Macaca fascicularis: one gene and its partners. The protein of the gene in region 3 purifies or fractionates together with the protein of the main gene of each other region. This does not show direct contact. Links are inferred from orthologs where the notes say so. Each region holds a gene or a part of one and is shown on either strand. Other genes may lie near its edges.

What was found.
Region 1: the proteins of CSTF2 (region 3) and CSTF3 fractionate together in Homo sapiens (co-fractionation; 4 studies listed by BioGRID and IntAct, with this or other methods). This does not show direct contact. The link is inferred for Macaca fascicularis from reciprocal best matches to the Homo sapiens genes CSTF2 and CSTF3.
Region 2: the proteins of CSTF2 (region 3) and CPSF2 purify together in Homo sapiens (affinity purification with western blotting; 3 studies listed by BioGRID and IntAct, with this or other methods). This does not show direct contact. The link is inferred for Macaca fascicularis from reciprocal best matches to the Homo sapiens genes CSTF2 and CPSF2.

What each region holds. Positions count from the first base shown.
Region 1 is NC_088388.1:32,419,444-32,423,193, forward strand, and holds the start of CSTF3 (cleavage stimulation factor subunit 3), read left to right. Parts: upstream 1-1,270; 5' UTR 1,271-1,425; coding exon 1,426-1,452; intron 1,453-3,750. UniProt on the Homo sapiens protein: One of the multiple factors required for polyadenylation and 3'-end cleavage of mammalian pre-mRNAs.
Region 2 is NC_088381.1:160,139,953-160,143,602, forward strand, and holds part of CPSF2 (cleavage and polyadenylation specificity factor subunit 2), read left to right. Parts: intron 1-354; coding exon 355-542; intron 543-1,195; coding exon 1,196-1,486; intron 1,487-3,650. UniProt on the Homo sapiens protein: Component of the cleavage and polyadenylation specificity factor (CPSF) complex that play a key role in pre-mRNA 3'-end formation, recognizing the AAUAAA signal sequence and interacting with poly(A) polymerase and other factors to bring about cleavage and poly(A) addition.
Region 3 is NC_088395.1:107,483,785-107,487,534, reverse strand, and holds the start of CSTF2 (cleavage stimulation factor subunit 2), read right to left. Parts: upstream 2,696-3,750; 5' UTR 2,690-2,695; coding exon 2,632-2,689; exon of another isoform or gene 2,477-2,631; coding exon of another isoform or gene 2,458-2,476; intron 1,566-2,457; coding exon 1,487-1,565; intron 844-1,486; coding exon 674-843; intron 475-673; exon of another isoform or gene 342-474; intron 1-341. UniProt on the Homo sapiens protein: One of the multiple factors required for polyadenylation and 3'-end cleavage of mammalian pre-mRNAs. This subunit is directly involved in the binding to pre-mRNAs.

The DNA of each region.
Region 1 (3,750 bases), on a different chromosome or scaffold from region 3:
CGCTCTGTTGCCCAGGCTGGAGTGCAGTGGCATGATCTCGGCTCACTGTATTTTTAGTAAAGACGGGGTTTCACGGTGTTAGCCAGGATGGTCTCAATCTCCTTACCTCATGATCCACCCGCCCCGGCCTCCCAAAGTGCTGCGATTACCGGCGTGAGCCACCACGCCTGGCCTAGAACTCCTGATCCATTCGTCTTGGCCACCCAAAGTGCTGGGATTACAGGCGTGGGTCACCACGCCCGGTCAATCTCATTTAATCTTAATGCCAGATACTGTTCCTAACACCTTTCTACGTATGATTTATTTCTTTTTTTTTTTTTTTTTTTTTTTGAGACGGAGTCTCGCTCTGTCGCCCAGCCCAGGCTGGAGTGCAGTGGCGCGATCTCGGCTCACTGCAAGCTCCGCCTCCCGGGTTCACGCCATTCTCCTGCCTCAGCCTCCCGAGTAGCTGGGACTACAGGCGCCCACAACCGCGCCCGGCTAATTTTTTGTATTTTTAGTAGAGACGAGGTTTCACTGTGGTCTCGATCTCCTGACCTTGTGATCCGCCCGCCTCGGCCTCCCAAAGTGCTGGGATTACAGGCGTGAGCCACCGCGCCCGGCCGTATGATTTATTTCAGTTGCAGGTACTATTATTCCCACCTATAGGCCAGAAAGCTGAGGTACAAAGTTTAATTGCCCAGAGTTACTTATCTTAGTTAAAATCCAAGCAGTCTGGGCTCCAAACAATCATATCCACTTTGCAGTCAAGGAACCATGCTGAGATTTTGAGCTGAAAATCCAGGTCTCACAGACTTCAAAGCTTTCTACATAAGAGTAGACGGCGGCAGTAAAAATTAACGTGGGCTTGATCTATCCCTCCCACCCCCAAGAAAAGTAAAAAGCAGGAACTGAGACCAGAGAAAACCTTCACGGATTCCTTATCCCCTAAATATAGGAGGCATTTAACGCTTAGCATTGCTGACTAGCAATCAGGCTTCAACCGTGAGGAGCCAGGCTCTTAAAGCTTTTTAACTGAATTCCAAAAAGCGCGCGAGCCTCCAGGCGAAACAGATTCCCGCCTTCCAGCCGGTTAGAGCCGGCTCAGCAACAGCCTCTCCAGGCCGGGGTAGTGACGTCAGCCCAGGAATTGGGCCCGCCCCGGGATCTCGCTGCCTTCTGCACGTTCGGAATAACCAACGAGTCGCGAAATTAGCCCCGCCCACTGCCCCGGAAGTTAATGCGAAAGCCACACACCCCCCTCCTCGGCCGGCAGGGGCGCAGCCATTTTAATTCATATCTGAGTGGGCGGTGGCGATTGGTGTTGGCGGTCTGGCTCAGCTGGGCAGGGGGTAACTTTACTGATTTGGGGGTGGTTTTTAGTTTAATTTTTCTTTTCTAGCTTCCCATCGACGGTCAGTGCGCACGTTGTAATCAGCTGAGGCCATGTCAGGAGACGGAGCCACGGAGCAGGTGAGGAAGGAGAGTGGTGGGGCCTCGTGGCGACCTCTTCTCCACGTCTGTTCCTCCGACTGCTCCAGACATGTTCGCCTGAGGAAGGAATTGGGTCTAGTGAACCCGGGGGACAGGGTATATACAAGAGTGGTGGGAATGGGGAGCAAGATCTGATTAAAATTTAGGTTTTTTTTACTTCCCTGTCTTAGGCACTAATACGAGTAAATACTTGATTTAGACAATAGCCGGTAGGCTGCTTCGTCCTATTTAGATTCATGGGACTACTCCAGATGGGATGCTTTCCTTTGATATCGCTTTGGTATTAGAGTGGATAGGAATTATTTTAACGCGCACCCGCCGTTTTAGAAAAACTTGACAGTGTTTCTTTCACCCAGCCAAATGTAGTGTACCCAGAAATAGGTTACTAGTTTGAGAAATATTTGAGACAAAGCTAATCTGGAGAATTAAGATTTAAGAGAGCGAGTGAAGAAAGAAGCAAGTTATGCTGTGGTTTTGGGAATATTGTGGCTTATTTTCGTTTTCTTCCTTTTCTTCCTTTTAGTCACATTTCATTTTCGTTTTTCCAGCTACATAAACATTGCAGGTATATTATAAGTTGAAAATGAGAAGTCTGTTTTGGCCACTGTAAATAAAAGCATGTTTTAGTAGTAAATATGGGTGACAACTAAATATTTAAAAATTCAGACTTTTAGGTTAGATCAGTGTGGTTTGTTTTTTTTTCTCTTTGTATTCAGAATTTTGTAGGAGAGTACCTTTTAGTGTGAGAGAGGAAACAAAATAGTTTTGAAAGATGCCATTAAATTTGTTTTTCGATCTAAGTCCTGGTGTGTTTAGATAAATACAGTTTCTAAAATGGAGGCTAGGTAGCCTGCAGTCTCAATTTCCTGAAATTTCCCATTGCCATAGCAACGACATGCACTTAGATTTTCATTTTTCAGGTTCCCTAGCTTATAACGTGGAAGATGTTATTGAAGGTTGACAGAGATGAGGCAAAATAGGAGTGTTCTATTGCATAGTCTGTAAGACTGTAGATTTCATTTTGTCGGCAGTTTGACTAAATTGTTTTGTGTTTGCTCGAGGACTGGTTTCAGTCCAGAAATCTTCGCACTATTTACATTTTACATACTGTTAGCATGCCCGAGCATGCGAAGTCTTAAAATTACCGTATCAAAACTGTTTACCTCTTTTCTGATCTAGTATTTGTCATCTGAAAGTGAAGGATTAATTAATTGAGGTTTCATTGAAAGTTTCCGAAATTCATCGTTAATCTTAGAATTTATCTAAAATTACAAAGACACAGAAATGTTACCATGACCTCTTGAATGTTTTAGAACTGTGGTGTTTCAATGGGACAGACAGATGGTGGTCAAAATTGTAGAAAAATAATTTCCCCCAAGGGTTTTATTGTGCAAAGTTTAGAACATAGAGAAAAGTTCAAAGAAAAGTGCAGTGAACACCTGTGGGACAACTCTTCACCTGGAATCAACAGTTGAAAGCCTTGCCATACTTGCTTTATCTCCCCATGCTGATTGAGAACAGGGTCTCTGTCACTAAAGCTAGAGTGCTGTGACGCCTTCACAGCTTACTGTAGCTTCGACCTCCCTGCGCTCTGTGATCCTCCCACCTCAGCCTCCTGCCTCAGCCTCCTGAGTAGCTGGGAGTACAGGCGCGCGCCACCATGTCCAGCTAATTTTTTTTTTTTTTTTTGAAACGGAACCTCAAGCTCTGTCGGCCAGATTGGAGTGCAGTGGCGCGATCTCGCCTTACTGCAGCCTCCGCCTCCCGTTTGGAGCGATTCTCCTGCCTCAGCCTCCCGAGTAGCTGGGATCACAGGCGCTCGCCACCATGCCCCGCTGATTTTTGTATTTTAAGTAGAGACGGGTTTCGCCACGTTGCCCAGGCTGGTCTTGAACTTCTGACCTCAAGTGATCCGCCTGCCTCTGCCTTCCAAAGTGCTGGAATTACAGGCGTGAGCCACCGCACCCGGCCTAATTTTTGTAGTTTTTTTTTTTGTAGAGACAGGAATTCACCATGTTTCCCAGCCTGGTCTCGGAACTCCGGGGCTGAAGCGATTCGCCCACCTCAGTGTCTCCAAGTTTTGGGATTAGAGACAGGCACGAGCCACCATGTCTGGTCCATGCATGTTTGTTTGAAAGTATGTTGACACTTTGCAGCCCAAATATTTCAGCATTCTCATATAAATAAGAGCAAAATGTTGTTAAATAATCTTCATACCATTTCCCCACCCAAGAAAATAATAATATTTCTAAAATCTAGTCCTTCTTCAAATTTCCC
Region 2 (3,650 bases), on a different chromosome or scaffold from region 3:
TAGCCCAGAAACACCAGGCTGGTTACATTTGGCCTAGCCAAACAATTTTCTCAGTGATACACACACCATTTTCCATGTGTATTATAATGTATAGAGTGTTGAGGACTACTGATTTATAATTTTTCAATGAAAAAAGATGGAGAGTTAATGACACTGAATTTCTGAAGAGATAGTCAACAGAATCAAAAGCAGTTGTAATGACCTGAACAAAATTCCTTCATTTTTTACCTGGCCTAGTAGTTGCTTATTTGTAAATTACAGTCTTTCTAATAAAAACACAGAGAGAAAATTATCTGTAATTTTGTAGCATAGTATTGTTATGTTCTATAGGGATTTTACATTCTTGTTTTCTAGCAAATGTCCTGGAAACACTTCGAGGTGATGGAAATGTGTTAATAGCAGTGGACACAGCAGGCAGAGTTTTGGAACTTGCTCAACTTCTTGATCAGATTTGGAGGACTAAAGATGCAGGACTGGGTGTTTACTCATTGGCACTCCTAAATAATGTCAGTTACAATGTGGTAGAGTTTTCTAAATCCCAGGTTTGTTCTCATGTTGTCACTTGTAATAAAGAAGTTTGCTACAGTGATTGGGTCTGTGGAAGTGGGTGTCTTCATTGTTTTTTGGATTTTATTTTTCCCTTGAAGAGATTGTTAGTAATGATGATAACTTGCCATTAACCATTTACTGTTCTGTGTGCTTTAAATGTATTATTTCATTTAATCTGTATTTATTCTACTAAGTAGTTTCCCTTTTATCCCTGTTTTAAAGATTAGGCAAATTGCTTCTCTTCTAACTCTTTAGTATCCCAGTCTGTAAAATGGGGACAAAAATAGAACCTACCTCATAGCATATACATGTTAGAATTCATTGTTCTTTCTTTTAAATAAGCTTTTTGCCTTGAAATAGCAATCTCTGGGAGTAAGATTTTCATTTAGAACATATACCTTGCCTTTTCAAAAAGATTTAAGGTGATTTATACGTGAAATATAATGCAAAATTGGGTTTTTTTGGGATGAAAACTAGGGTGGGATAATCTAATGGGAAATGGAAGCAGAAAATAAGCTGCTTGTCAAAACATTACAAATTTAAGCAACCAGTGGGGGTAAAAGATAGAACTTGGATTCCTTGACTATTAGAGAATATATTGAAGTTATAGGATTTCTAATTCTTGTCATCTTTCCCCCCACATTAGGTGGAATGGATGAGTGATAAATTGATGAGATGTTTTGAAGACAAAAGAAATAATCCATTTCAGTTTCGCCATCTCTCTTTATGTCATGGTCTTTCTGACTTGGCCCGAGTACCTAGCCCTAAAGTTGTACTTGCCAGCCAACCTGACCTGGAATGTGGATTTTCAAGGGATCTCTTTATCCAGTGGTGTCAGGATCCTAAGAACTCAATCATTCTAACTTACAGAACTACTCCTGGGACTTTAGCACGTTTCCTAATTGATAATCCTTCTGAAAAAATTACAGAAATAGAGGTAAGCACTTGTATGTGAACTTTATCTTAAGACTGTTTGGGGGATACATTGTGCGTGATGTATAAAAAATAGTGACCAAAAATAAAACTTGAAGTTGTTTTAGGATTTTGATCAGAATTACTCTTGAGAGCCAGGAGTGGTGGTGTGTGCTGTAGTACCAGCTACTCGGGAGGCTGAGGTGGAAGGATCACTTGAGCCCAGGAATCTGAGGTCAGCCTGGGCAACATGCCAAGACCTACCCCCCATCTCTTAAAAAAAAAATTACTGTAGAAGAGAGCCTTTAATAGCACAAATTTCAGAGTTCCTTAACTGGAGGTTCTCTTTTTTTTTTGAGATGGGGTCTTGCTTTGTTACCCAGTCTAGAGTGCAGTGGTGCTGTCATAGTTCCGTGCAGCCTCAAACTCCTGGGCTTAAAGGATCCTCCTCCCTCAGCCTCCCAAGTAGCTGGAACCATAGACATGTGCCACCAGGCCTGGCTATTATTTTATTTTTATTTTTTGTAGAGACGTCTCATTGTATTGCTGTGGGTGGTCTCAAAAGAAGTTCTCATTCTTAAACTTTTCCTTGGTACCCTCTAGTTTACCCAGAGGGTAAGCCTATACAGTGTTTTCTCAGTCTCTGAAAGGTTCCTTTCCTGTCTCTTGCTTAATTTAAATCAGACTCTTTCCTAAAGACGTTCTTTATCCTGTAGCCCCCAGAAGTAATTACTCTTTCTTTCAGTGTTGCATGTACTTTGAATGGAGTACATGTCTTCCTTGTTCTGTATTGCAGCTTCCTAGCTATTTATCTTCCATTTGCAGTTTTTGCCTTCAGACCTGCTGATATGCTGACCCCTCCTTGTTTCTGACATTTAATGATCTCTTGGTCATTCACCATTTGACCCTGATTCACAGTCTTCCTGTCCACTTGTATTCAGGACTTTATTCTCACTGACTTTAGCTTCCATGTATATGATCTGTCCAATTCTTCTCAGTTACTTGACACCTTATTTCTTAATCTTTTCCTTCATCTTACCTCAGACATCCATTCCTGCTGTCATGCTATCTGTTCCTGTGGTCATGCCTGTAACCTTCTTTTGGCCGAACAGTCTCCAAGCATCTCATTCTGAATTTACAGCTGACTTTCCCTGTTATTCTCATGACAACAACTCTTCAGTTCCATTGGGACTTTCAGTTCATGAACCTCACCTTTATACTGTCTATCATCCTTCCAGCCTTAAACTCAGTGGTTCACAATTAATCAAAATTTTGCAAATATCTTTAACTCTCTTACACTTCTGTTTTAGTCCCTGGAAAGGCTTTGACCTTAGTTAAACTATTTGCTTGGTGCGTGCCTGTACTTAAGCAGCTTTATGTTTCTGAAGTTAAACACTACAGTGTAGACAGATTTGTTTTCACATGCATAACTTCACATCTCAGAAGGGGACCCTACACCAGTACTCAGCATTCAGTAGGATGTTCCCGTTCTCACTGTAAGGCAATTTTATATCTTCTTTCTCCTCAAACATCCTACAGCTCACTCTCAGCCTTCATTCATAGCACATGATCTTGTCTCAAACTTAACATAGAAATCGAAGCAGTGAGTCAGGAATTCCTTTATCTTTCCACCACTAAATATACTAACTTGATTCTGCATCTGCATTTGCTGCCTTATCTCCTGTTACAGGAACAAGACAATTAGCTCAATGACTAGTATACCCAAAGATCGTTTGCTTAATAACCAGTGCATCAGTTCTATCGATTTTTCAAAACTAGTATATCATTAAAGTTTGTAGCATTTGATATAGTGGGATGGTTAATAACTGCCAGAGTTGCAAAAGTTTAGGCGACTAAACCTTAACATAAAGCTGTAACATAAAGCAGTATCATAAAGCTGCTTCTTATTTTGTCTTTGTAGCACTCATGTAATTATTTAATTAGAGATAGACTCTCTCTCTGTCACCCAGCCTGGAGTGCAGTGGCACCATCACAGCTCACTGTAACCTCGAACTCCTAGGCTCAGGCTGTCCCTAAACCTCCCCCTAACCCACTCCACCTTGCAAAGTGCTGGAATTATACATGAACCACCGCACCTGGCCCTTAGCAGTCATTTTAAGGAAAGTTTAGTTTGTTAAAAGCTATGTGGTAGGGATATCTGTCTTCCAACTCTACTTAAGAAAAGCATA
Region 3 (3,750 bases):
CATGATCACATGGAAGGACAATGTTAACCTAAGTTAGAGAACTGGGAACACTGACTTCTTTTGACAAGTCATTTCAGAAACAAAATGTTAAAAGAGAAAAACATGCTAATTTCAAAAACTCCTGAAAACAGTGACAGGAATGACTAATGCCATAGTTAGTACTACTAATGGCTTGATGAATTTGAATTCATCTTTAACTGGAAATAACTCCTTAACAATGGAAAAATTTCGTTTTTTTTTTTTTTTTTTTTTTTGGAGACAGTCTCACTCTGTTGCCCAGGCTGGAGCAACTGAAGCATTTCTAATGTCAACTTTACAGTTTCTTAAAGATATACACTTACTAGCAAGTCTCCAGCATGCTTAGGTCTGCAGTGACCCTATGCATTCCTACAGTGCTTGCCAGAACAGTTTTGAAATGGTTTGAGGCCTTGCCCTGCTCCATCCAGAGCAAGGGTATAGAAATTTCAGACAATTACTTGAAAAAAAATTTATAAAAAATTTTTTAAAAGATATATATAATACTTGCCTAACTCAGGCACATCAGATCAGTCAAGTAATAAACAAGCTGTGTGGCTAACCATTTCAGCATATTCTAAAACATAGCAGAAACGGAAAATCTTCATTGTTACATCTTTACTAACTCACACTGCATCCAAGTTGGATTTGTACTCACTCTTCAGCTCTTCTTTGTTCTTTTCACTGGCAGCATTGTCCACTCGAAGTGCTCTCCCACTGAATTCACGCCCATTCAGGTTCCGCATGGCACTAAGTGCTGTCTCTTGGTCTTGGTATTCACAGAAGCCATAACCCTTTGGCTTTCCTGTCTCTCTATCATATACCAATCTGGAGAGCAGAACCAAGTGTCAGGAACAAATGTTACACACATACAGGGTTCCTGCTAACATTGCCATGCTTTAATTGGGCCCACTGTAACATAAATAACTTTACAGCTCTGACAGCCTCACAGAAATATTTTTTAAAACTTTTTCTTTTTTTTTTCCCTGAGATAGAGTCTCGCTCTGTTGCCCAGGCTGGAGTGCAGTGGCACGATCTTGGCTCACTGCTGTCTCCACCTCTTGGGTTGAAGCAATTCTCCTGTCTCAGCCTCCTGAGTAGCTAGGACACAGGCATGCGATACCACAGCAGCTAATTTTTGTATTTTTAGTAGAGACGGGATTTCACCATATTGGTCAGGCTGGTCTCGAACTCCTGACCCCAGGTGATCCGCCTGCCTCGGCCTCCCAAAGTGCTGGGATTACAGGCAAGAGCCACTACGCCCTGCCTAAAAAACATTTTTAATGAAAAAAACATATTTTAGGTAAGAATAAATGTCAATTGTATAGTATATCAATTATATCTAAATAAAGCTGTTACAAGAATAAAGTGTATGTGAAAAGTCACCAGTAAAGAAAACCTGCCATTACTAAGAGCCAAATCTGTGGTAATTTTTAAGAAGCTCCCACCATGAAGTAAAAGGGGATCTCACCTGAAACTAACAACAGGTCCAACCTCAGAAAAGATGTCCTTCAACTGTTCTTCAGTAGCTTCATAAGGAATGTTCCCCACTAAGGAAGAAAACAGGTAACATTAAAATTCCGAGTTTATAACATAGATCTTTAGTGAGAAAGTAAATGACAGAGTATCTACTTATATCATCAAATATAAGGCTCAAAATAGTGTTCTCCAATCCCAATTCCACTGTATTTCTCTAGACCTCTTAACAAAGGAAATGTACCACTGAAACTAAATACAAAATGTGTAGGTACTCTTAAATGTTAATTCTCAGACTGATCTGACAAGTGTTAGATTTTCCTTAACTTTGGTGAAAATAAATACTTCGGCACTGGTATTTACCTAAAGATCTGCAAGTCTCATCAGTGACTACAAAAAATATCAATGTTTTTTAATATAATTTTTAAGACAGGTTCATATGTATTTCCACACATACAACATTTAAGGGAGAATGACCATGAATGTAGTGAAGGATGTTTAAAAATTATTCTGAACTACTTTGTCATGTCCCTTTCAAATGGCACTCTAAAATAATCACACGTATTTTTAAAAACAACTTATTTCAGCCAAAAAGATAATTCAGAATCATTTCGATCCTTTTTAAAATTCCTCTGAGGAGGTCTTAACAGTTCATTCATTCATTCATTTACAAGACATCTCAGGACACCAGGTGGCCTCTACTACTATTGATGAACTAAAATGTTACGGATAAAAAGCAAAGGATGAAAGTCCTTACGAGAGAACAGGAAGTGGACACTAGGATCTATACCCTCAGCATATAGTCTGTATTCTGGGGCAGAGGATGAGAAGTAGTACGGGACAGTGAGGAGCTGTTGCCATGCGCCCTCTCCTCTAGAGAATAATTAAAGCTCATGAAAGGAGACACGCACAGAAGCTGAACGCTAGTCTAACTTCCCCAGTGATATTGCGGAAAGCCTACGAGACCTCGGCAGAATGGGAACATCTCTTTGCTCACGAGTCCACCAGGTTGGACGCCCTACAGGATAGGCAGGGAGAACTGCATGTCCGAACCGTCAGCGGCTCCGGTAGCGATTCATGAGATAGGAGGTGCAGAGGGGAGTCCCTCCCCGAAGCTTGGCTCCAACGAATTCCTCTCACCGAACACAGAACGTAGAGAACGATCCACCGCTGGGTCTCTCACAGTCAAACCCGCCATAGCTCTATTGAGTCGGCTTCCGGTGCGCCAAAGCACACTTCCGTACGGAGCACAAGCCCAGCGCTGAGCACGCTTCCGTACGGCGCGTGAGCCGGAAGTGCCTGGGTGGAACGGACGCAGAGCCCCTCCCCTGACGACCTTCTGTTAGCCGCAGGCGCGAGTTGCGTCCACCGGAGGACTCAACCCCCACCCCTGAGATTAACTCTGTTCCGAGCCAGATGCAGGCGAGTCCAGGCTAATTTGAAGGGTTTCAGCCTGCAGACTTCCTTCTTATTTTCTCTTAGGTTGATGCAAGTACTCGTTAACCACAATAAAGATGGCGCAGCGGCTTTACCATGGTAACAGGGAAGTCTTTTGCTGACAACTGTGGCGCTTGCATTTTAGTTCCGCCCTATCAAGGGAGGGAAATGCTTGGGCGCGTCCCAGCAGCGTGCATATTAATTTGCTAAAGCTGTGGGTGTATGGAGTGAGATAAGGAAAGGGTATGCTAGCCGAGAGAAGCATAGTTGAAGAAATGGGAGAGGTAAAGGGAAAACAGACCTCTTTCTGTCCTGGTGTAGTCCGTGGGTTCCATGTGGTTCGTGGTGGGGCGGTGCGGCTGGGGATTCTGGCAGGCAGGAAACAGAAAACGTCATTCATTAGTTTTTCCACACTTTGGTGCCCACGCTCCTGTGATGTGGCATGCAGGGCAGGTCGTTGTATCAGCCCGAAAAGGCAGACCCTGCCGGGGTTGGAGGAAATCCAGAGGGCACCTCAGGAGGACAGGGTTAGGGGAGAAGCAAAAGAAGGAGCCAAGAGCGCTACCTTTGAGGGACTTGTCTGAAAAGGGAAGACAGTAAAATAGCCACGGAATTGGAGGCACGGACGTTTTTATTAATTCCACATGTATTAAAAGTATACGGACCGGGTGCGGTGGCTCACGCCTGTAATCCCAGCCTTTTGGGAGGCCAAGGCAGGCAGATCACCTGAGGTCGGGGGTTCGAGACCAGCCTGACCAACATGGAGAAACCCTTTTCTACTAAAAATACAAAATTAGCCGGGCGTGGTGGCACACGCCTGTA